Stegostoma tigrinum: one gene and its partners. The protein of the gene in region 1 interacts with the protein of each later gene in a biochemical or structural test. Links are inferred from orthologs where the notes say so. Each region holds a gene or a part of one and is shown on either strand. Other genes may lie near its edges.

Evidence for each region. The genes of interacting proteins can lie anywhere in the genome.
Region 2: the proteins of pdzk1 (region 1) and cftr form a complex in vitro, tested with the Homo sapiens proteins (2 studies listed by BioGRID and IntAct, with this or other methods). The link is inferred for Stegostoma tigrinum from reciprocal best matches to the Homo sapiens genes PDZK1 and CFTR.
Region 3: the proteins of pdzk1 (region 1) and sodium-dependent phosphate transport protein 2A-like form a complex in vitro, tested with the Homo sapiens proteins (2 studies listed by BioGRID and IntAct, with this or other methods). The link is inferred for Stegostoma tigrinum from reciprocal best matches to the Homo sapiens genes PDZK1 and SLC34A1.

Annotation. Positions count from the first base shown.
Region 1 is NC_081359.1:15,465,645-15,472,550, reverse strand, and holds the start of pdzk1 (Na(+)/H(+) exchange regulatory cofactor NHE-RF3), read right to left. Parts: upstream 3,012-6,906; 5' UTR 2,891-3,011; intron 1-2,890. UniProt on the Homo sapiens protein: A scaffold protein that connects plasma membrane proteins and regulatory components, regulating their surface expression in epithelial cells apical domains.
Region 2 is NC_081371.1:34,862,524-34,869,511, reverse strand, and holds the start of cftr (cystic fibrosis transmembrane conductance regulator), read right to left. Parts: upstream 3,014-6,988; 5' UTR 2,849-3,013; coding exon 2,796-2,848; intron 1-2,795. UniProt on the Homo sapiens protein: Epithelial ion channel that plays an important role in the regulation of epithelial ion and water transport and fluid homeostasis. Mediates the transport of chloride ions across the cell membrane.
Region 3 is NC_081366.1:72,046,646-72,054,601, forward strand, and holds the start of sodium-dependent phosphate transport protein 2A-like, read right to left. Parts: upstream 3,014-7,956; 5' UTR 2,999-3,013; coding exon 2,882-2,998; intron 31-2,881; coding exon 1-30.

The sequences.
Region 1 (6,906 bases):
CAGACCTCTGTGTTCTTCCAATTCCACCCACTGTTGGGCAGTTCTATCTTCAAGCTGCTTGTGTCCTAAACTCTGGCATTTCTTCCCTAAACTTCCCAGCCTCTGTATCTCACTTGTCCTTATCATCTACAAATTGGATCAATTTATTGATCATCTGCCATAGTATCTCCTTATGTGGCTCTGTGTCAAATTTCATTTAATACTTGCTCGTTTGAAGACAGGATGTTTTAATATATTAAAAATACAGAAAAAATATAAGCTAATTTTAATAAGTATACACACTGTTTTATAATACACACCAAACCATGTGTCATCATTTTGAGTAGTGACTATTAATAGAGCTATCATGCCCATATACATCTCACACATGACTGGATACTGAGGGATAAATTGTCCCACCTCTTGATCATTGTAACTTCATTAGAAAATCTGTTCACTCAGAAAATCAAATTGCACCCTGACATCTGGGTGGGAGAAAGAAGTTTAATTTGCCCCTTGTGAATTGAATATATATATTTTGTTTCATGCTATTTACACTTATGATGTAATGACAGCCAGACCCAGTGAGCTGAAATTCACTCCCAATCCATATTGGGGTTTACCAATGTCATCTTAAACTTTCCTGACCGCATCCATGTTATGGAACCCTCCTGTGGTGCTGTGGTAGTGTTCCTACCCTGGACCAGGAGGCTTAGCGTCAAGTCTGACCTGTTTCAGGGGTGTGTGATAGTAACTCAGAATAGGCTGATTAAAAATACATTTTTGTTCCAGACCACAGTATTGTCATTGGCCAGTTGTTCATCTAATACAGTATGCTTCCACCAACCAATCAGACTTCTGTGTGATCTGACAGGTTGATGCTTGGCTCTCAGTCAAATATCTGTTCACTTGCTCCTGTCTCCAATAATAGCCAGATAGGAGGGATCACATTTGCATGAATGAAAGTGCACCCTCTTTTTTTTAGAAGTCCCAGTGATTTTACTCAGTGTTCTGGAGACTCAGGGCCAATTTTGAGAATTGACAACACCAGTCCACACTGAGGCCACATTGAGGAATAGTCTTTCAAATGAAGATTACCATCCAGCATAGAGAATGTGGGTTCACCGGAAAAAGCTAGACTCAAGATCACTGCCAGCATCACCTGGAATAGTGGCCCCTGCACATTTTAAGGTCTTGAGCAACAATTCACATTTGATCATCATCATTAAGGTTGTAAATAGTCCCAAGGAGCTTCATAGAAGTAATTACCTACCAATATTTGACACCTGAAACACATACAGTGTATTAGAAAATGTCTGGTAGGTTTTAAAGAGATTTCTAAATGAACAGAAGGCATTCCCAAGCTTTTGAGACCCCAGTGGGCATAGCTGCTGCTGGTGGAAGCCTATACCTGCTATAAACGGGGGCCCCTCCTCCTAGTCTATAATAAAGAATAATTCCAATTTCACACCAGTGTTTTGGCCTTCACTAATGCCTTTGAAAATAAGCAAATTCCCGATATGGGAGAGACTTCCTTCAGTTTCAGGTCTATCTCTATGAGTTGCAGTGGAAATCTAAGTCTGCTGTGTCAACCAGCTCCCCTTTATCCACAGCATGTGTTACTTCCTCAAAGATCTCCAACAGATTGATTAAACATGATTTCCCTCTTAACCTAACTTGCCTGTTCACTTCAGTTAGACCTACTTTCTTATCACCATAATTACCCTTGTTTCTGTCTAAAATACTAGTCTTGGACCCACTCCTCTCTCTCTCTCTCTCTCTCTCTCTCTCTCCAACTGAAAGTAAAATTCAATCATATTATGGTCATCAATAACTATTGGGACTTTCACTTCAAATCCTATCTTATTGCACAGCACCAGATCTAGTATTGCATGCTCTCTGGTCGGCTCTGAGAAACCATCCTGAAAAATATCTATGAAATCTTCATCGAGCCTATCTTTGCCCATTCAATTTTCCAGTTTGTACCACATTAAAATTCCCCATGATTTTTGCCAAACCTTTCTGACATTCCCGTCTGATTGCTTCCTATATTTGCCATCTTATGTGTATTTACTATTAGAAAGCCTATATACCACTCCTATAAATGGCTTCTTCCCTTTGTCATATGTCATCACCATCTAAACTACTTCTGCATTCTGGTTTCCTGACCATATGTCATTCCTCTCTATTGTACTAATGCCAGCTCTAATTTAAACAGCATTATTGATGTAACCAAAAATAAAGTATAAAACCACTGCGATTAGATATTGCCTTCGGTTCCGGGACAAGACCACAGCTAACGTAAATAGATTTCAGTTAAAATCTGTGTGGATCTCCTAATCACAAATTCTGACAGTCCAGTTGGAGGCCATTCAGTAGATTATGTCTATGTCTGACTGTAAGTAATATTATGTCTCTACATGGGATACCCTAAGTAATTAACAAACTATTTATATTTATTGATCACCCCATTTACAGACTACTATTTCAGAAGTAAGTTATCATACTTAAATAAATAGTGTTGCATTATATTAGTTTGAAAAATTGAGCCAGGACTATAAAACGTTATTATAGAAAAGTAATTTCAATAGGAAGTTGTATGCACTGAGAATTCCAAGGTGTCTGTACTTTTTTGCTTTACTTAAGTTGCACAGCAGGAGTATAATTTGTCATGAAAAGTTATTTACCTGCTTATTCTATTAAACTTCAATAGCAGATGATTGCAGTCAATATTTGAACAGCAGTGAAATTGAAAATACAGATTAGCAATATGTCAAATGATTAAAACAGACACAGGGGAATGTGCGGACACTAGTTATATTGCGATGTTTGCTGCTGACAATTAAACTCGAGCCGTATTTCTATCCAAAAATTAATCCAGGGCAAAATAATGCTCACAAAAAGTGCTTACCAAACTCTGGTCGGTTCAGTTGCTAGTGAATCTATGAATGTTGTCTTTTGTAGGTGCAATCTACACCTATGGACTTTGATCAAGGTTTGGTTAAAAGGTTGAACAATTCAGCAGAGCACTCGACATATTGTGGAATGCTGATACATTCCCTTTATCACTGTGTCCAATATTTAATTGATGTGACTGCTTCCATGAACTCTTTACTAGGCAACGTTTATTTGTGAAATTCTAATAGCAATGAATCTCTAATAATTAATGTGACCACAAAACTCCCACTTGGATAGGGCACTGTGTAAAACTCTTTACTGTTTACTGTCATAACTAAGTGACTGTGTGTGTGTCACTCTAGTTTGGCAAGCTTTTTCTCTACTGGGTTAGTCTCTAACCTGCTGAAGGGGCTTTGAAAATGTTTGGCTGCTTATAAGTTGCCCAGAACTGGATGCCTCAGAATACTGTATCAGATATAATAGGAACTGCAGATGCTGGAGAATCTGAGATAACAAGTTGTGGAGCTGGATTCACACAGCAGGCCAAGCAGCGTCTCAGAAGCAGGAAAGCTGATATTTCGGGTCGAGACCCTTCGTCAGAAATGGGGGAGGGGAAGAGGTTTCTGAAATAAATAGGGAGAGAGGAGGAGGCGGATCAAAGATGGATAGAGGAGAACATAGGTGGAGAGGAGACAGACAAGTTAAAGAGGTGGGGATGGAGCCAGTAAAGGTGAGTGTAGGTGGGGAGGAGGTAGTTCAGTCCAGGGAGGATGGACAGATCAAGGGGGCGGGATGAGGTGAGTAGCTAGGAAATGGGGGTGCGGATTGAGGTGGGAAGAGTGGATAGGTGGGAGGAAGAACAGGTTAGTAGGCGGGGACGAGCTGGGCTGGTTTTGGGATGCGGTGGGGGAGGCGAGATTTTGAAGCTTGTGAAATCCACATTGATGCCATTGGGCTGCAGGGTTCCCAAGCGGAATATGAGTTGCTGCTCCTGCAACCGTCGGGTGGCATCATTATGGCACTGCAATCGGCCCAGGATGGACATGTCGACTAAGGGATGGGAGGGAGAATTGAAATGGCCCGTGACTAGGAGGTGCAGTTGTTTATTGCGAACCGAGCGTCGGTGTTCTGCAAAGCGGTCCCCAAGCCTCCGCTTGGTTTCCCCGATGTAGAGAAGGCCACACTGGGTACAGTGGATGCAGTGTACCACATTAGCAGATGTGCAAGTGAACATTTGCTTGATATGTAAAGTCTTCTTCGGGCCTGGGATTGGGGTGAGGGAGGAAGTGTGGGGGCAAGTGTAGCACTTCCTGCGGTTGCAAGGAAAAGTGCCAGGTGTGGCGGAGCAGACAAGGGAGTCACGGAGAGAGTGGTCCCTTCGGAAAGCAGATAAGCGTGGGGAGGGAAAAGTGCCTTTGGTGGTGGGGTCGGTATCCCGCGCCCCCTTGACCTATCCGTCCTACCTGGACTGGACAATCACCTCCCTACCTCCCCACCTACACTCACCTCTACTGGCTCCATCCCCGCCCCTTTAACTTGTCTGTCTCCTCTCCACCTGTCTTCTCCTCTATCCATCTTCGGTCCGCCTCCCCCTCTCTCCCTATTGATTTCAGAACCTTCTTCCCCTCACCCATTTCTGATGAAGGGTCTAGGCCCGAAACGTCAGCTAAGATGCTGCACCTAAGATGCTGCTTGACCTGTTGCGTTCATGCAGCTCCACACCTTGTTGCCTCAGAATACCGCATTGATTCAGAAACATCATTCAATCTTTCTTTTCACATAAAGAAGGATATGGGAGAAAAGGACACCAAGTGTTGACATGAGGGGAATAGTTGTGATTAGTGGAATATGCAAGTACAGACAGTGGAGAGTCCATTGTGATTGACAGGTGGTTATGAGTAGTATGGAGTAGAGATGGGAGAAAATATTGCTGTTGCTGAAGCAAAATAGAGATTTAGGGAAACTTTGAAGGGGAGTCTCACATTCATAGCCCTGACGAGATCATGAGACTTCTTCCTGCACTGATCCAGGTTGTAATGACGCTGAATAAAATCCAAAAGATCTGCGGATGCTGTAAATCAGAAACAAAAATAGAGGTTGCCAGAAATGCTCTGCAGGTATGGCAGCGCCGGTGGAGAGAAATCAGTTAATATTTCAGGTTGAGTGACCCGAAATGTTAACTCTAATTTCTCGCCACAGATGCTGCCAGACCTGCTGAGCTTTTACAGCAATCTTTATTTCTGTTTACAATAGTGCTGATATTGATTTGTTCTTCCACCTCATTCCATCATAGTTAGTGAATTTGTCTGGGTAATGTTACAATCTCCATAGAGACAGTTAACGTTTAAAGAAAAGAATTAAGCACCCAGTGATTCACTGAAAGAAACATGCACAGGATTTCATATTTGAAACCAAAATACGCCCTTCTCCACATGTATAAAGATCATAATGCAAGCATGACTTATTTGGAACTCTATTTTGTTAAGACAACACAGTTCCTCATTTGCTTCCTAATTACATACATGAGTTTCATTATTATGAAACACATTAAACACATTATGGGATCTTGTGGATTCATTCACTTCTCCTTTAGAATTCAAACCAAGTATGTCACAGCTTGAAAGATTTGAAATTAATTTCTCAGCATTCTGGTATTTTTTAAGGTGAGAGATTTTGTCGGGATTCTTTCATTAGCTTTTGGCCAAGAAATTCTCCAATTTTTCCTCTAAACTCATTCTTGTGAACTTCACAGCTCAACTTGGACCCTACACCTTGCATTCACAGCATACATACTCAATGCCTTGGTTCCTAATAGCCTCTAAAGTCCTGTGTCGCTCTTAGTCCCACTTTCCAACCCCTAACTCAATCGCAGACACTTTCTCTATAACATATTCTCTGCCTTCTTCACCCTGTATCCTATAAAGGCCAATACAGAGTTCTTCATTCAGTTCAATATAGGCAAATCTTTCAGCCTCTTTTCCTTCAGGATCTTTGCCTCCCAACTGAGCAGAAGCTCCAACCTGCATTCTACATGATGAATGATAAAGTGCTATTTTCTCCGTTTAAAGTCGGCTAACATTTATCTCTTTTGTTCTTTTCCCCAGTAAGTTGCACTTGTATCCTTCTGTTTCCAACCTGAAATGTTGATTGCCTTCTTTGAGCAAACTTACCAGAAAATAATCAAATATCCATAAGCCCCACAGAATACCAACATGGCAGTGTGACATAAATGGCATGTTCCAAGCTGTAATATAAATTAGTTATCTTTTGTTTTCAAAACCCCCTTACATTCTGGCACCATCATGAATGATGTGTCTCCTGATGGAGTTAATAACCCTTTTCAGTAGACTTGTTTGTTCAATCACAGAACTTCATTGTTTACAAAGTTGCTTTTGGATTTTTTGATCTGGGAACGAGATAAATAATTTAAATAATTATAGGCCTCCTGTGAATCAGTGATTACCTGTATGTATTTGAATTGCCACTTAATTCAATATTGTTTCTCAGTTGGATAGTTTCATTCATCTTACATCTAACACATCAATTCCTAATTTAGAAGTTATACCTCTAAAGCACATGAATTGTAAATTCAGACACTTGCAGCAGCATGCAGCATTGAGTAGAGAGAGAGGCGCATTTTCCTTTGTACTGCTTTCTTGCTCCTTGAGCAAGGCGCCATCAAAAATTACGAAGGTCCTGGACCTTGTCTTTTGACCAGCAGAATTAAAAACTAACTTCCATAAATTAACAGGAGGGCCCACTTGTTTTTCAGAGGCACAGGATGATTTTAACCAGAGGCCAGTGGGGGCATGAAAGCTCCCCTGTCCATCAAATGTCAAACTCCCAGGGGTAGACACCAGTGTGCTGTGCATGTTGTGTTGGGTTTGAATGAAGTATGCTGAAGATCTATCTAGCAGTTGGATGAGGTGGGGACTCAGAGGGATAAAACAAAGATCATTACTGAATACGGCATGTTCAGCATTAAAGAGCGGAAGGTCAGAAGGGATAGTAAATAGCCAACAAGAGGAG
Region 2 (6,988 bases), on another chromosome or scaffold:
TTAGTATCGTCACCTTTCTCTTACTGTTCCCACCTCTCTCTCTCTGTTGATGTCACTTATTTCTGGATCACAGTTCTACTTGCACCCTCTGTGGCCTGAGCAAGTTTTTGTCAAAGTTCATTTTTTGTTGCGGCGATCCATAATTCATTTCATGCTCGCTCCCAAGAGATGCCAAAGTTAAAGCAACTGGGAATGAGGTTATAGATGGAAAATGCTGAAGCGAGAGGAAATAGGAGAGTGGACAATGGTCGTGGTTAGTATTGGAGAGTGAGGATGGACAGTGGCATAACTGTGCGTATTACGTAGTTATGGCCCCTAATGTAACACACTCGGACAAGTTTTCTTGTTTATTGAATATCGGCCCTGAGGGGGGGAAAAAAAACTGGACCCTGAACTTCAGGCGTGTATCCACACGCTCGATTTCGGGATGTTTTCTATAACAGAGAGAAGACAAGGAAGACCTGGAAATTAGGATGAAGAGGTGAGTAACATTCTCTAAATTATTGCTGGGATACTGGAGCTGTTTGCCTTAGAGTGAGAAGAATATATGAAGATTTAATACAAATTTTCAGATTAGTGGAGCGTTGATAGAAAAGACTGGAAGAAATTGTTTCCACCAGTAAGACAATGGCCTAGGGAGGGCTTTTCAAAATAATTGGGAAAGGAGCTGTAAGGAAGTTGAGGAGAATTAATTTTACACAAGAGGTTATTATGCACTCCCCAAAAGTATGACGGAATCAATTTCGAAACGGAATTGGGAATTTACTTGAGAAATGAATTAAGTATTAAAGTATTGGGAAAAGTATGGAAATAGCTAGTCTATAGAGCGTACTCAGGTGGCGTGCTGTATAATTGAAACCAGTAACAAGACAAGAAAATACTCAATGAATGACAATAAACAAGCAAGTTCCGAGGAACAGAACGATTTTGGGGTGTTTGCGCACACATTCCTGAAGGTGGTAGGACAGATTAACAAGGTAGTTAAGACAATCACTTTTATTAGTCCCTGCATTGACTAAAAAATCAAGGATATTATGCTGGAACTATACAGAACTTTGGTTAGATTCCAATGCAGTACCATGTGCAGTCAGCTTATCTCCCCATAGAAAGGATGCGATTGCACTAGAGGGGCGCAGAGGAGATACACCAGGAAGTTGCGAGGCTATGCGCTCGGGTGTTTTCTTTAGAACAGAGAAGGCTGAAAGGAGACCTGATTGAGGTCTAAAAGATTACGACGGGCATGGACATGGCGGGTAGAAAATAGCTGTTCACCTTAGTTCAAGAGTCAATAACAAAGGGGATAATTTCAAGGTGAAACGAGGAGTTTTGGAGGGGTAGTGAAGATTTTTTTTTCTACACTCAGAATGTGGTGGGAATGTGGAGTGCTCTGCCTGGGAGGGTAGCTGAAGCTGGAAACCTCGCAAACTTAAAAAAAAAGCACTTGGAGGAACACTTGAAATACCATAACATTTAAGTCGTAGGGTCAGTGCTGGAAAATGAGACTAATGTAGATATAAACTCTTATTACGGTGGGAGCAGACTCGATGGGCCGAAAGACCTCTTCCGAACCGTATGATTCGATTAATCTAATTCTGTAACTGAACATTTGATGTAGGTTGCATGATAGCTGTTTTATTTCGGCAAAGTTATTTTTTTCTAGACTGTTTGATAAACTTTCCCGCCCGAGAACACCTGAAATGACAAGGTAGAAATTGAGAACCCTGTTATGTTTGGTTTGAGAGTCTGAGACAAGAATATGAGACTCCAGTAGTTGATTACTTGATATTTTAAAATATGATTGGCTGAAATGATTCTGAGCTGTGATTGGTCCCACTCTTGGTTCTCACATAGACATGGTACAGATATAATGGATTCGGGTTGACGGAGTTACAGAATAGCGACTATATACAGTCATGTAAGTACCTTCTAACATAACTGACAATTAAATGAATCACCCACAGAGACATATAGTAAATAGTTTTCATTTACATTTACAACTTTTTTTTCATTCTGCCCCGAACGGATCTTTAATTCCCTTTGCTCACAGCTAAATCCTCTCCCATTGAAACAAAATTGATTTGCATTCCCAATAAATGTCTGTCCTGAAAACACAAAGGGCGCACACTCCGAAAGCTCTGGGATCAATTTATAACAAATCAACTGGTTGTAAATCAGACTGGCATAACTTTCCCGGGCAGCTTCAAGTGTTGCACATTGAGTAACGTAACGATGTGATTTTATACTTCCTTTTCATGACAACAATGAAATCCTAAATGAGCTCGTGATTTTCTGGCCTCTATACCGTCAACGTCTCTGCACACGGTGAGAGACAGACAGGGAGAGAGAGCGCGAGAGAGAAGTTGCCGCAAAGTTTCGCAAGACTTTTGAAAAAGTTTAGCTGGACTTCAAACTGAGAAGCCTCCCCAGCGAAAGCTCCAGTTTCTACAGCGATTGGGGACTGACTTACAAACAGTAGGCTGAGAAAGGTCAGTGCAACTGGTAGGAGTTGTTGCCGGTTAGTGAACTGTGACAAATGTTCTTCTGAAGTTTCAAGTTCCTTTATCTATGAACCTTGGTATTCCGCTCTTCAGCAACACCCAGTGAAATAGACTTCTCGTAGATTACACTGCAATTCGGGCAGGGAAGGAACAACGTCCAAGTCAGAGAGAGAAAATGTACCGGCGGTGTAATAAATGTGGTCAAATCTGTATAAAAGCCTGTAGAGGTTCCACTCGGCGAACTTGTTTGTTTTGAGAACAGAACCTGAGGGGTAGAGTGAGATTGCTTGGTCTTACCTGAAGAAGAGTTTAGAGAAGGCATTTGCTTTTTCTATGGGTGATCTCTGCATTGTTGTCCAGTGAAGGGTTTCCAGTACCTGAAACAGAGCCTGCCCGCACCCCACCTTATTAACACTGCCTGATGATGTCACTGCTTAGTGCAGAGAGAGAGAGAGAGAGAGGGAGGGAAAGGGAGGCTGAGATTTGACAGCATTGTGCCTTCCTGAATCTGCAAAACCTCGTTTCGGCCAGAACTTCAACTGTTGCAAATTGCTGTCCAGTTCTCAGTAATCATTAACGACTGCAAGACAACTACAAAATGTTGTGACTTATTAATGGTTAACATACCAAGAATATTGTCAAATGCACCTGCTATTATTCTTACATTGCAACCATCATGAATACAAGTTTCATCGTGGGCAGTCCATTGGAAGTTTTCTGTGTGTCCTTTGGGTGACCATGTCTCCCCTCAATCTGAGTTTTCTCGAGGGAATCACCACGTGTTCTCTTTTGCGGTCGTTACATTGTTTTGTACAGACTTTTAAAAACACAATGAGTTTTCTTTTAGAGGAAAGCTGTTATTCGCTATAAGGTACCGAACTGTAACTCGTTCGGTTTCTGGGAATGTGGAGCGCCCGCCGTAGTTGAACTTTTGAATCAACAAGGTGTTTGTTGTTCAGCAGTTCTCACCAGCAGGAAGCAACATCTCTGATTTCACCAGCCACACGTGTGGCAGTTCTCTTCTGAACCCATATTTTGAATGACCCATGAGATAACTATATTGACAGAAAACGAAGCAAACGTGTGCCTGCCCTTTTTATTGAAAAGCTCATCAAAAAGCAATAAATTAATCTCATTGTAGCAACGTTTATATGAATGACTGAAGATTACCAACGCAGCGTTTGACATCCAGCAGGGAAACGAATGCACAAGGTAATTACAACCTGTTCATTCCCTATCCTTCTGGTGGAACCATGTCAGAGCTGGGATAACAAAGTGTGGAGCTGGCTGAACGCAGCAGGCCAAGCAGCATCTTAGGAGCACAAAAGCTGACATTTCGGGCCTAGACCCTTCATCAGAAAAGGGGGATGGGGAGAGGATTCTGAAATAGAGATTCCCTGAGGTCGGTCCGGAGGGAAGAGGGTAACTTCTTCAGGTTAGGCATCCTGGAAGAGGCTTCGCAGTGAGGTTAAAATTGTGATCAGAGATAATGGGAATTGCAGATGCTGGAGAATGCTGGTATTATTTTTTTAAAAAACTTTAAAGTCTCCCTCGTATAGGTGTGTTGTATTTGCATATTACTGCCCAGGTATCCCATCGCCCCAGCGATTACATCTTGGTTTTAATTTTTCTCTCGGGCACTTGAACCTGATTTTTATTTTCAGATGAAATTGAACTTTAGAATTTTCGTCAAGAATTCCCAGCGAGCAAAACATTCCCAGGCTTCGAACCAGTTCCAGGAACAAAAATGATACAATCACGACTGTGACAAAGGAGAACTCAATGGAGAGGAGAACGTGGACTGCAGCACACGATGCAGAACTAAAACAAATGCTGCACAAACAAACATAGGGCTAGGTGGGTGTAACTGCTGACATGGAGGCCAATTCATTTAGTGCAACCATGAAGTTTAGGGTGGCTTTTGTTGTTTTCAGTATTTGAAGAGAATGCGCCTTTAAACTGATTTATTTTATTGGCGGATTTAATCCATATGCGGACTCAAACAGGAGCTCACATTTCAAGTCACAGAGTTGAAGGGGAGAAATGTTGCAAGGCAGTTTGTACTGTGGCTGTGTGTGTGGACCACGATAGATACGGGCAACCTATCCCTGCGGCCTGTGTCGAAAGGTGCTGAACTGGTGAAGGGAAAAACATCTCCAATAGGTAAATCACTAAGATTTGCTTAATAAGAAGTGTGGATGCTGTAAATCAGGAACAAAAACAAAGTTGCTGGAAAAGCTCAGCAGGTCTGGCAGCATCTGTGGAGGAGAAAACAGATTTCTCCTCCACAGATGATGCCAGACCTGCTGAGCTTTTCCAGCAACTTTGTTTTTGTTATGGAGATTTGCTTGTTCTGCAAATCCATCCTTATTTCATTTTCTAAATGTGTTCATTAAAATTGTAAATCTGCGATGTCACCCTGATCGTTACTGAATTAACAACTCTGCTACGCCTCTGAGAAATAACTTCAAAACAACACCGTTGTCTATTAAAACATTGCCTTTCTAACTTCGGATTTTCACAAATCAGAGCAATCTACAGAGAAAGTTTGGTTTGTAATTAATTACACTTTTTTCTGTTAGAGATACAAAGGTCAAATAATAATTTTTTGTAAGAATTGACCTGGTTATTATATTTACGTTGTACATATTCAGAATTAATTCAATTGTGCACTGCTTTGGGCTGTCTTAATGAAAAGTGCATTTTAACATAGAGATTGTGCAATATTTTCAATAAATACTTCGCTGGAAATCGCGCAGAACTGTTGTCCAGTTCTTCCACGAGTTTACGGCATTTGGAGATGTTAAATAAAAAGTCAGAGATAATGGGAACTGCAGATGCTGGAGAATCCAAGATAATAAAGTGTGAAGCTGGATGAACACAGCAGGCCAAGCAGCTTCTCAGGAGCACAAAAGCTGACGTTTCGGGCCTAGGCTCTCTGATGAAGGGTCTAGGCCCGAAACGTCAGCTTTTGTGCTCCTGAGGTGCTGCTTGGCCTGCTGTGTTCATCCAGCTTCACACTTTATTATCTTAAATAAAAAGTCAGATTTTGTTATTTGAATTTTCAAAAGCGTGTTCCTGCTTCACAGATATCACCATCCCAGCGGGGGGGAGAATTGTTCTGGTCCCCGATTCTTCACAAGTTGCTGTACAATGAGCGGATTAGCATACATTCAGCATTCTGAACTTTACTGAGCCGCTACTTTTAATTCGTTTGAAAACATTCCCGTCATCACTGGCAATGTTTCACTGCAAAGCCTGAATGGCTAATTTCACATGTCTGAAGAAGGGTCCGACCCGAAAGATCAGCTTTCCTGCTCCTCTGATGCTGCTTGCTTGGCCTGCTGTGTCTATACAGCCTTATGCCGTGTTATCTATGGCTAATTCCACATGTGGGAATTTTAATTTAAAAACGCATAGAGTCAAAATGACAGAAGGCGATAATTAACATTGTAAATTATACAGGTCAGACTGATTTAGAGCTCAGCTATTTCAATCAGTTCTCTATGTCTGTTGCAATATGCCACACTGCCATAAGCATTGTGAGAACTGCAGTGAATCTGGAAAGTAAAACCGTATAGGCTATGGTTCATTAATACGCAATTAATGTCGTTTCTCTAGCGCATAGCCGGTAGTTCCTAGGATCATTACCTAATTTTGCTAAGACATCTTTTCATAATCAAACGTTTCGACTATCCAATGGGTGTTTGAATGCGACCTGAAATAGTACAGAATGAACATTAAGCTTGAAATAGAAATCACAGTGCAGAAAGAAGGCTTGATTTCGTGCTCCAGTGGAAAATGGAAGGTTTTTTTCTTCGAAGAAAAACGATACCAACATACTTGCTAATATACAAATTAGGAGCAGCAGTTGGCCATTCTGTGCCTCCGATCGGCTCCATCAATTGTTAAGATCCTGGCTAATCTGATTGTGGCCTCAACTCCAAATTCTCAGCGAGCCCTGACAATCTTTGACTCCCTCTCAGTCAAGAATCTATCTACCGCTGCCTTGTTATTTATTTACCTTACCTCCACCTCTCTCAGGGAAGGAGAGTTCCAAAGGCTCATAACCAACCTCGAGGGAGAAAGCAAAATCTGTCCGGTCTCCATCCTAAACTACTTGCCCTATTTCTAATGGTTCCCACAGGGGATTCAGTATGTCAAGTACTGTCATAATCATATGTTTCATTAAGATCACCTCTCCTTCTAAACTCCAATGGATCCGCTGCATCCCATGAGCCAATGAATCCTCCATGTATTGCATGTTATTTTCTGTACTATGAGCTACTGGGTGAAGTGTCAAAATGTGATGCTATAATAAAGGAAAAGTAGGAGGAAATTGATTCCCAGTTCAATTGCTGCAGTAGGTGATGGGGATGAGTGATACCTTTCCCAGTTAAATACTGACACTTGATACACTGCTCTCCCATGAAGTTGAGGTGGGAACAGTGCTTCTTAAAGCACATTGGAGTCAGGTCAGCATCTCTGCC
Region 3 (7,956 bases), on another chromosome or scaffold:
CTTCCCAATGTCTACCTGGAAAAGGAACAACTGCAACATATGCCAGTGCACAATCTGCAAGGGAAAAACTTACGAAATCATAGAATCAAAAGTTATACTGCTCAGAAACAGACCCTTCAGTCCAAATTGTCCGCATCAACCAGACATCCCAATCTTGCTAAGTGGTGAGGTCACCTTCCTGGACCTCTCAGTCTCCATCTCAGGTAACCAGCTAGAAACTGATGCCCATTTCAAGCCCACTGGCTCCCACAGCTACCTAGAATACACCTCCTTCCACCCACCCTCCTGCAAAAGTTCAATCCCCTATTCCCAATTCCTCCGCCCCCACTGCATCTGCCCCCAGGATGAGGCATTCCACTCCCGCACATCCCAGATGTCCACATTCTTCAAGGACCGCCACTTTCCCTCCGCAGTGATCGAGAATGCCCTTGACCGCGTCTCCTGCATTTCCCGCAACACATCCCTCACACCCCGCCCCTGCCACAACCGCCCCCAGAGGATCCCCCTCGTTCTCACATACCACCCCACCAACTTCCGGATACTACGCATCATCCTCCAACACTTCCGCCATCTACAATCCGACCCCACCACCCAAGCTATATTTCCATCCCCACTCTTGTCTGCCTTCCGGAGAGACCACTCTCTCTGCGACTCCCTTATCCGCTCCACACTCCTCTTCAACCCCACCACACCCGGCACCTTCCCCTGCAACCGCAGGAAGTGCTACACTTGCCCCCACACCTCCTCCCTCACCCCTATCCCAGGCCCCATGATGACCTTCCATATCAAGCAGATGTTCACCTGCACTTCTGCCAATGTGGTATACTGTATTCATTGTACCCGGTGTGGCTTCCTCTACATTGGGGAAACCAAGCGGAGGCTTGGGGACTGCTTTGCAGAACACCTCCGCTCGGTTCGCAACAAACAACTGCACCTCCCAGTCGCAAACCATTTTAACTGGGCCTCCCATTCCTCAGACGACATGTCCATCATGGGCCTCCTGCAGTGCCACAATGATGCCACCCGAAGGTTGCAAAAACATCAACTCATATTCCGCTTGGGAACCCTGCAGCCCAATGGTATCAATGTGGACTTCACAAGCTTCAATATCTCCCCTTCCCCCATGGCATCCCAAAACCAGCCCAGTTCTTCCCCTTCCCCCCCACTGCATCCCAAAACCAGCCCAGCCTGTCTCCGCTTCCCTAACCTGTTCTTCCTCTCACCCATCCCTTCCTCCCACCTCAAGCCGCACCTCCATTTCCTACCGACCACCTCATCCTGCCTCCTTGACCTGTCCGTCTTCCCTGGTCTGACCTATCCCCTCCCTACCTCCCCACCTATACTCTCCTCTCCACCTATCTTCTTTTCTCTCCATCTTTGGCCCGCCTCCCCCTCTCTCCCTATTTATTCCAGCTCCCTCTCCCCAACCCCCTCTCTGATGAAGGGTCTAGGTTCGAAACGTCATCTTTTGTGCTCCTGAGATGCTGCTTGGCCTGCTGTGTTCATCCAGCTCCATACTTTGTTATCGCAATCTTGCTAAGTCCCACTTGCCCCCATTTGGCCTATATTCCCCTAAACCCTTTCTATTCATGTCCCCATCCGGATGCTTTTTAAATGCCATAATTGTACCAGCTTCCACTACCTCCTCTGGCAACTCGTTCCATACATGCAACACCCTCTGTGCAAAAATGTTGTCCTCAGGTCCCTTTTAATTCTTTCTCCTCTCACCTTAAAACTATGCCCTCGAGCTTTACACTCCCCTGACCTGGAAAAAAAGACCTTGGCTGTTTATCCTATCCATGCCTGTCATGGTTTCACAAGTTTCTATAAACCAACCTTCCGCCTCTAATGCTCTGGGGGAGAAACGTCCCAATCTCTTCAGCCTCCATCCTGGCAACATCCTTGTAAATCCTTTCCGAAGCGTTTCAAGTTTAACAACGCCGTTTCCTACATGTTGCTGGCATCGACTTCATAATAATTCTCAGCCAAAATAAATCATGCTTCCTTCTTAATGTATGCAACATATACTATATTTTTGGTATGGGATGTATATTTTAATAGTATGTATTGTCACTATTATACAGGCTATCTATAATGTTTGGGCCACCTGTGGTTTACCTGGTAATACTCTCACCTTCACATTATATGGTGGGCTGCTGTGGATTGTCAAGACTAGTTTAGTCTGGGAACTTGATCAGCATGGATGAGTTGGACCAAAGGGTCTGTTTCCATGCTATTTGACTCTGAGACCCATTCCAGAAACCTGATTACAAAATCTCGCTGATCACTCCAATGCAACGCCAATACTGCATTACCTTTCAGATGAGAAAGTGAGGCCCTGACTGGCCCATCAGGCGGGTGTAAAAGATCCCACTTTTGCTACTTCAAACAAGAACAGAGGCCTTCTTCCTGATTATAGAATCCCTACAGTGTGAAAACAGGCCATTTGGCCCACCAGGTTCCTTCCAAGCCTCTGAACAGCATCCTACCCACATCCAACGTCCAACCCTTTCTCTGTAACTCTGCAATTCCCATGGCTAATCCACCTAACCTGAGCATCCCTGGATACTATGAGCAACCTAACATGGCTCATCCATCTAACGTGCATGTTTTTGGGCTGTGGGAGGAAACCAGAGCACCCAGACACAGGGAGCATGTACAAACTCTACACAGACAGTTGCCTAAGAGTAGAATTGAGCCCAGGTCCCTGGCGCTGTGAGGTAGTCATGCTAACCACTGAGCCACTGTGCCACCTGATGGCCTGATCACTATTTATTCTTCAACAAAAGTTACGAAAACAGACTAATATCTCATTACTTCACATGAGATTTTACCATTTGAAAACTGGTCACTGCATTCATCACTGCATTTCTAAAGTTACCTGTAAAGAGCGTTGAAACCCCAAAGTTGTGTACGGTGCTATATAAATGAATTTTGTTTCTTCTGCGAGCTTTGTGATTGTGGAACAATTTTCTTGCACCTCAGCACATCTACACATCAAAATTTATTAGATATGAAACATTTGAGGATTGTTTGAAAATATGAGAAACTGTTCCTTTAAACCGGATACATTGTGATGTCCAACCCAAGGAAGCCAACATTTAAAATCAATGTAGATAGTCAAATGTTCACTGATAAAATAAGATGCCCTCACAAAACCCAAGGATCCTATTCCAAATTCCAAGCCTGGGATCACTTGCAGATCGGAGAGAGCATTGCTAGCTTGTACTGACTTTCCTTCCTAATATAAAGCAATTGCTTCTTAGGGTCAAATAGGTCACAGAAAAAATCACTCTGCTGTAATTCCAACGTGCCTTGGGCCAGAAAAGTAACCAACCCTCTCTCTTTAGGGTTTATTCCTAAGTCAGAGATCTTTTAAAGGGATTCCTTTCAAGTCTTAATTGATACAACTTCCACTCAGACCTCCACGAAAGCAGAGAGAGAAATTTCCCAAGATTTTTTTTTTCTGATATTATCCCTTGTTGAGACTGAAGATAAGGTAGATGGGATTTCTAAACTGCCTTCTGCAAACTCCCAAAGACAACAATTAGATAATGAGCAGTTAATTTATTACCACCAATGGACCAGAGCAGTGGTGAAGCAAACCCCGAACATATTTTCAGGGAATGCTGATGGAGATGTTAGATACCATCTCCTCCTTTAGACTGCCGCTGACTGAATGGTCAAACATTCACTGGGAGCAATTCTTTCAATGAATGAACCAAAGAAACCATTTCGCTTGATCCTGTCTGTACTGATAGTTGTTCTCTCCAAGGCAACTCTAACGGTATCTGCATGCATTTTGCATGGCTTTCAACACAGTGTTAGACATATACAAAACAGTACAATTTGAGCATTGGCTAGTATAAATTACAGCCATCACGTCAGAATATCATCCAAATTTACCCACATTGTAGGGGGGTTAAAAATCAACATTTTGGATCATCCATGCTTATTCAGTTTCCTATCTGTTTGGAGATATGGTCAGGACTGTGATTGAGTCACTCTCAGAGCTTGTGATTAATGCGATGGTTGGAACTGATGATGGCCTTGATACATGCGATCATGCACTTACAATTCCAGAAGTCAAGAATAAAGAAACACTTTCGGAATGCATCTAACACACGTATAAGGTATGTTAAAGTCCAGAACCAGTTGGGCTCCCCTACCTTGGAAGAAAAACCCTTGGCTATTCACCTTACCCGTGCCCCACTTGATTTTGTATATCTCTAGAAGGTCACCCTTCATCCTCTGATGATCCAGGGAATTAAAGCCCTGGTCTATTCAACCTCTCCTGATAGCTCAAATCCTCCAATCCTAGCAACATCCTTGTAAATCTTTTCTAAAAACTTTCGGGCTTAATAACCTCCTTCCTATGTGTTACCAGCATCTGCTTCATAATAATTCTCGGTCAAGGTGACCACACTAACCCATTCAATATCACATTTGCTCTCATTTCCTCTAGTCTTTTGGTTACATTTGCATCTCTGCTCCATCATTTCGGACAAAATCTTTATGTGGCGTGGACTGACATTCTAAAACACTTTCTCTAAACCTCTCAGTCTTTTCCCCACCTCATCACTCTTCAAGATCTTCACAAAATCCATCTCGTTCCAAAAATCTGATTATCTTCCTCAACTCCCACATCAGCTCCGCACCTATTCATTTTCCTTCTGAAGGCACATTAAAATATCTTAATGCTAAAATAGTAGCCTATTTACTCGCTGTTACTTTAGAAATCTATATGATTTATGTATATAATGGTATCAGAACATAAATCATTATGGTCAATTCCATTAATATGCCTTTGCTTTCAGTAGCTATAGTGTAATTAACTTCAAAATGCAACTTTTCAGAGAAACTGTCCTCAAGAGGCAAAAGCATCCTCAAAACTAAACAATGGATGCAGTTCTGCTGGAAGACAAACTGTCCTAGTCATAACACAGAAAGATTCACAGCCTGTTCAATTAATTATTCTGTTTTATATCCACTAATTCAATCACATAACTTCCTCTGTCTGCTAGATTAAATTTATCTTCTTGACACCTTTGAGTGGCTTGAACTCAATTGTTAACTTCTTAAATCACTGTTAAAATAACACAAAGCAGGGTCTGAAAAAGATGTTAAATGGTGTTTAGCAAATATAATGCCCGAGGTTAATCAATACTATGAACTTTAAAAAGTGAATATTTTAATCGTGTTTTTTTTTCATTATGACTCATTTGAATAAAACAGGGAATTAGGTTCATAAAGAGAACAAACATTTGAGCTACGTAATCTCAAATGCAAACAATATTAACAATCAACTCTATAATTTCCAGACACCTCGCTGTTACAAAAGTATATGATCATGCCTTACCCGATCTTGATCTTGGAACTGGTCTCCTCACAGATTCTCACATTTACACACTTGACCCAGTTTGGGAAGAAAGTATTTCAACACTTGTCTTTTATACATAGACTAAGAGAGCAAAGTCTGCAGTGCCAAACTTATAGAGCGTGTACCTGCAATAACTAACCAATGATGAGGAGGCTGAACATCGTTAATTTATAATCAACTTTTGGTGCATAAAGTGCTGACCCTGGAAGAGCTGGATCTGTGTATTCCATAAACTCACCATTCAAACTATTTGCCAAATTCAGTAAAATCCCTTTGATGAGCAGAAGCAAGAGGGGTGTTGCGTTTGGTTAACTCTGAGTTATCTCAAGCATTTTTGGATGATTTTTGCCGTGAGGCCTTGTGCATTTTGTCAGTGAAATAACTGCTCAGAGACCAGTATCCTGTCACCAAGCCATCTTTTTTATACCCGTACACAGTACACTGGCTATGACCAGGCAGCTCAGAGTCAGCCCCTGAAGTGAGGCGATTCTAAATCTCCTGGTTATTTTGGTCAGCCAGGGCTTTCCTGGATTGGTCCAGGTTAACAGCCACAATCGATGAGGTCCTGGTCAACAGGATCTACCTAGTCCCAATCACTACACCCCTCACCAACTAAGTCTGAGAAGGTTGGTCTGGTCTTTCGTTTGTAGCTTCTTTTGCAACATTTTTACTCTTGTCTGGTTCCTCTCATAGATCCAGGCACTGGCGGTGCATACTGGGCCGTGGCCTGCCTCTTGTATCTGGAACATCTCAGTAGAGTTCCCTCCTCTTCTTCCGGCAGCAACAGTTTCAAGGCTGCATCCATTTCAGACTCTGAAGTTTCCCTAACAGTGGGTGGAGGGGGAGCACCTTCGGCTCCTGCCGAGCCTCCTGGCAACTTTCCCCGTTTGTGAGGTAACAGCTTTCAGGTGATCAGCATGTTTGTTCAGGACCGCCTCAGCCACCCGGACTTTGTAAGTCACGGGACCTGACCTTGCATCAACCTCATCTTGTACCCAGACAGGGCCATTTCCATTGGCTTCAGCACCAATTTAATCCCCGAATTAAATTGTCTCTCTCGCTTAGAGGTGGCTTGTGAATGGAATTGGCATTCTTGCTGCCATTTCACCCTACCCCCAAGCCTCGGAACATCAATTTTAACCTGGTACGGAGTCCTCTTCCCATCAGCAACACTGATAGAGCTATCACTGTTGTTGAGTGAGGTGTAGTCCTATAATTGAACAGGAACGGGGGACAGTTTGGTATTGAGTGATGCTATAGGCTGCTTCAACATTTGGATCACTCTTTCTGCTAGACCATTGCCTTAACCATCAACTCTTGCAAGGTTTTAGTATCTGGTGCCTCTGGAAAAGTTAAACCCCTTATAACCGAGAATGCTGTGGGTCCGCAAGCAGCCAGAAGGATAGCTTGTTGCTTTTCATCTGCCCCCAATGTCATCTGCCTGGGATAAAAAATAATTGCATTCTTTCCACATACTGGGCCCAGTCTTCGATGGCAGGATCAATGTGTTAAGCTTCCCAAATAAAGGCATGATGCCAGAAATGCTTACCCCAACTCCAAGATGGCTGCCACAAACGAATGTTCTTCAGGCACGCCCTGCTTTCTCCTGTCACCACTGAAGTTCCCTGTTTATACTGGTCAGCCAGGGCTTCCTTGATGGCTTGGGTTAACAGCTCAAATCAAGGACCTCCAAGTCAACAAGGTCCACCTTTTTCCAAACACTACATTCACCACACTTTGCTAAACAGGTATTATCAACTACTTACCCCAAGCACTCGGACAGGAACTGGCCTTCTGAAGGAACCCTGATCAATTTCAGGCAGATTGTGAATGTTTGGGAGAAGAGGAAGATGGCACGGTCATTTCTCTTCAGGGATCTGGAGGTCCCAGTGAATGGGGGTATTGCAGAAGGGGTGCAGAGGAGGCCACGAAACTGGACCCTGTCAGGTTGGCCTGAGGTCACTACTTATTGAGTCATATGCCTGGGAACAAACTCTTTGGTCCAACAAGTCCATGCCAACCCTATTCCCAAACTAAACTAGTCCTACTTATCTGCACTTAACTGATACCCCTCCAAATGTTTGTTATCCATATACTTATCCAAATGTCTTTTAAATGTTATAACTGTACCCACATCCACCACTACCTCTGGCAGCTTACTGCACGTACGAACCACTCTCCGTATGAAAAATTTGCCCTCATGTCCTTTATAGATCTTTCTCCTCTCACCTTAAAAATATTCTCTAGTTTTGTACTCCCTCACCTTGTCATTCATCTTATGTATGCCCCTCATGATTTATAAATCTCGATAAGGTCACCTGTCAACCTTCCGTGCTCTGGTGAAAAAAGTTACAGTCTTTCCAGTCTATTTTCATATCTCAACATCGTGGCAAATCTTTTCTGAACCCTCTCTAGTTTAATAATATCTCCTTATAACAGTGCAACCAGATCTGGACACAGTATTCCAGAAGAGGCCCCACCAATGTCCTGTATAACCTAAACATGATGTCCCAACTCCTATACTCAAAGGTCCGAGCAATGAAGACGAGTGTGCTAAATGCCTTGTTAACCACCTT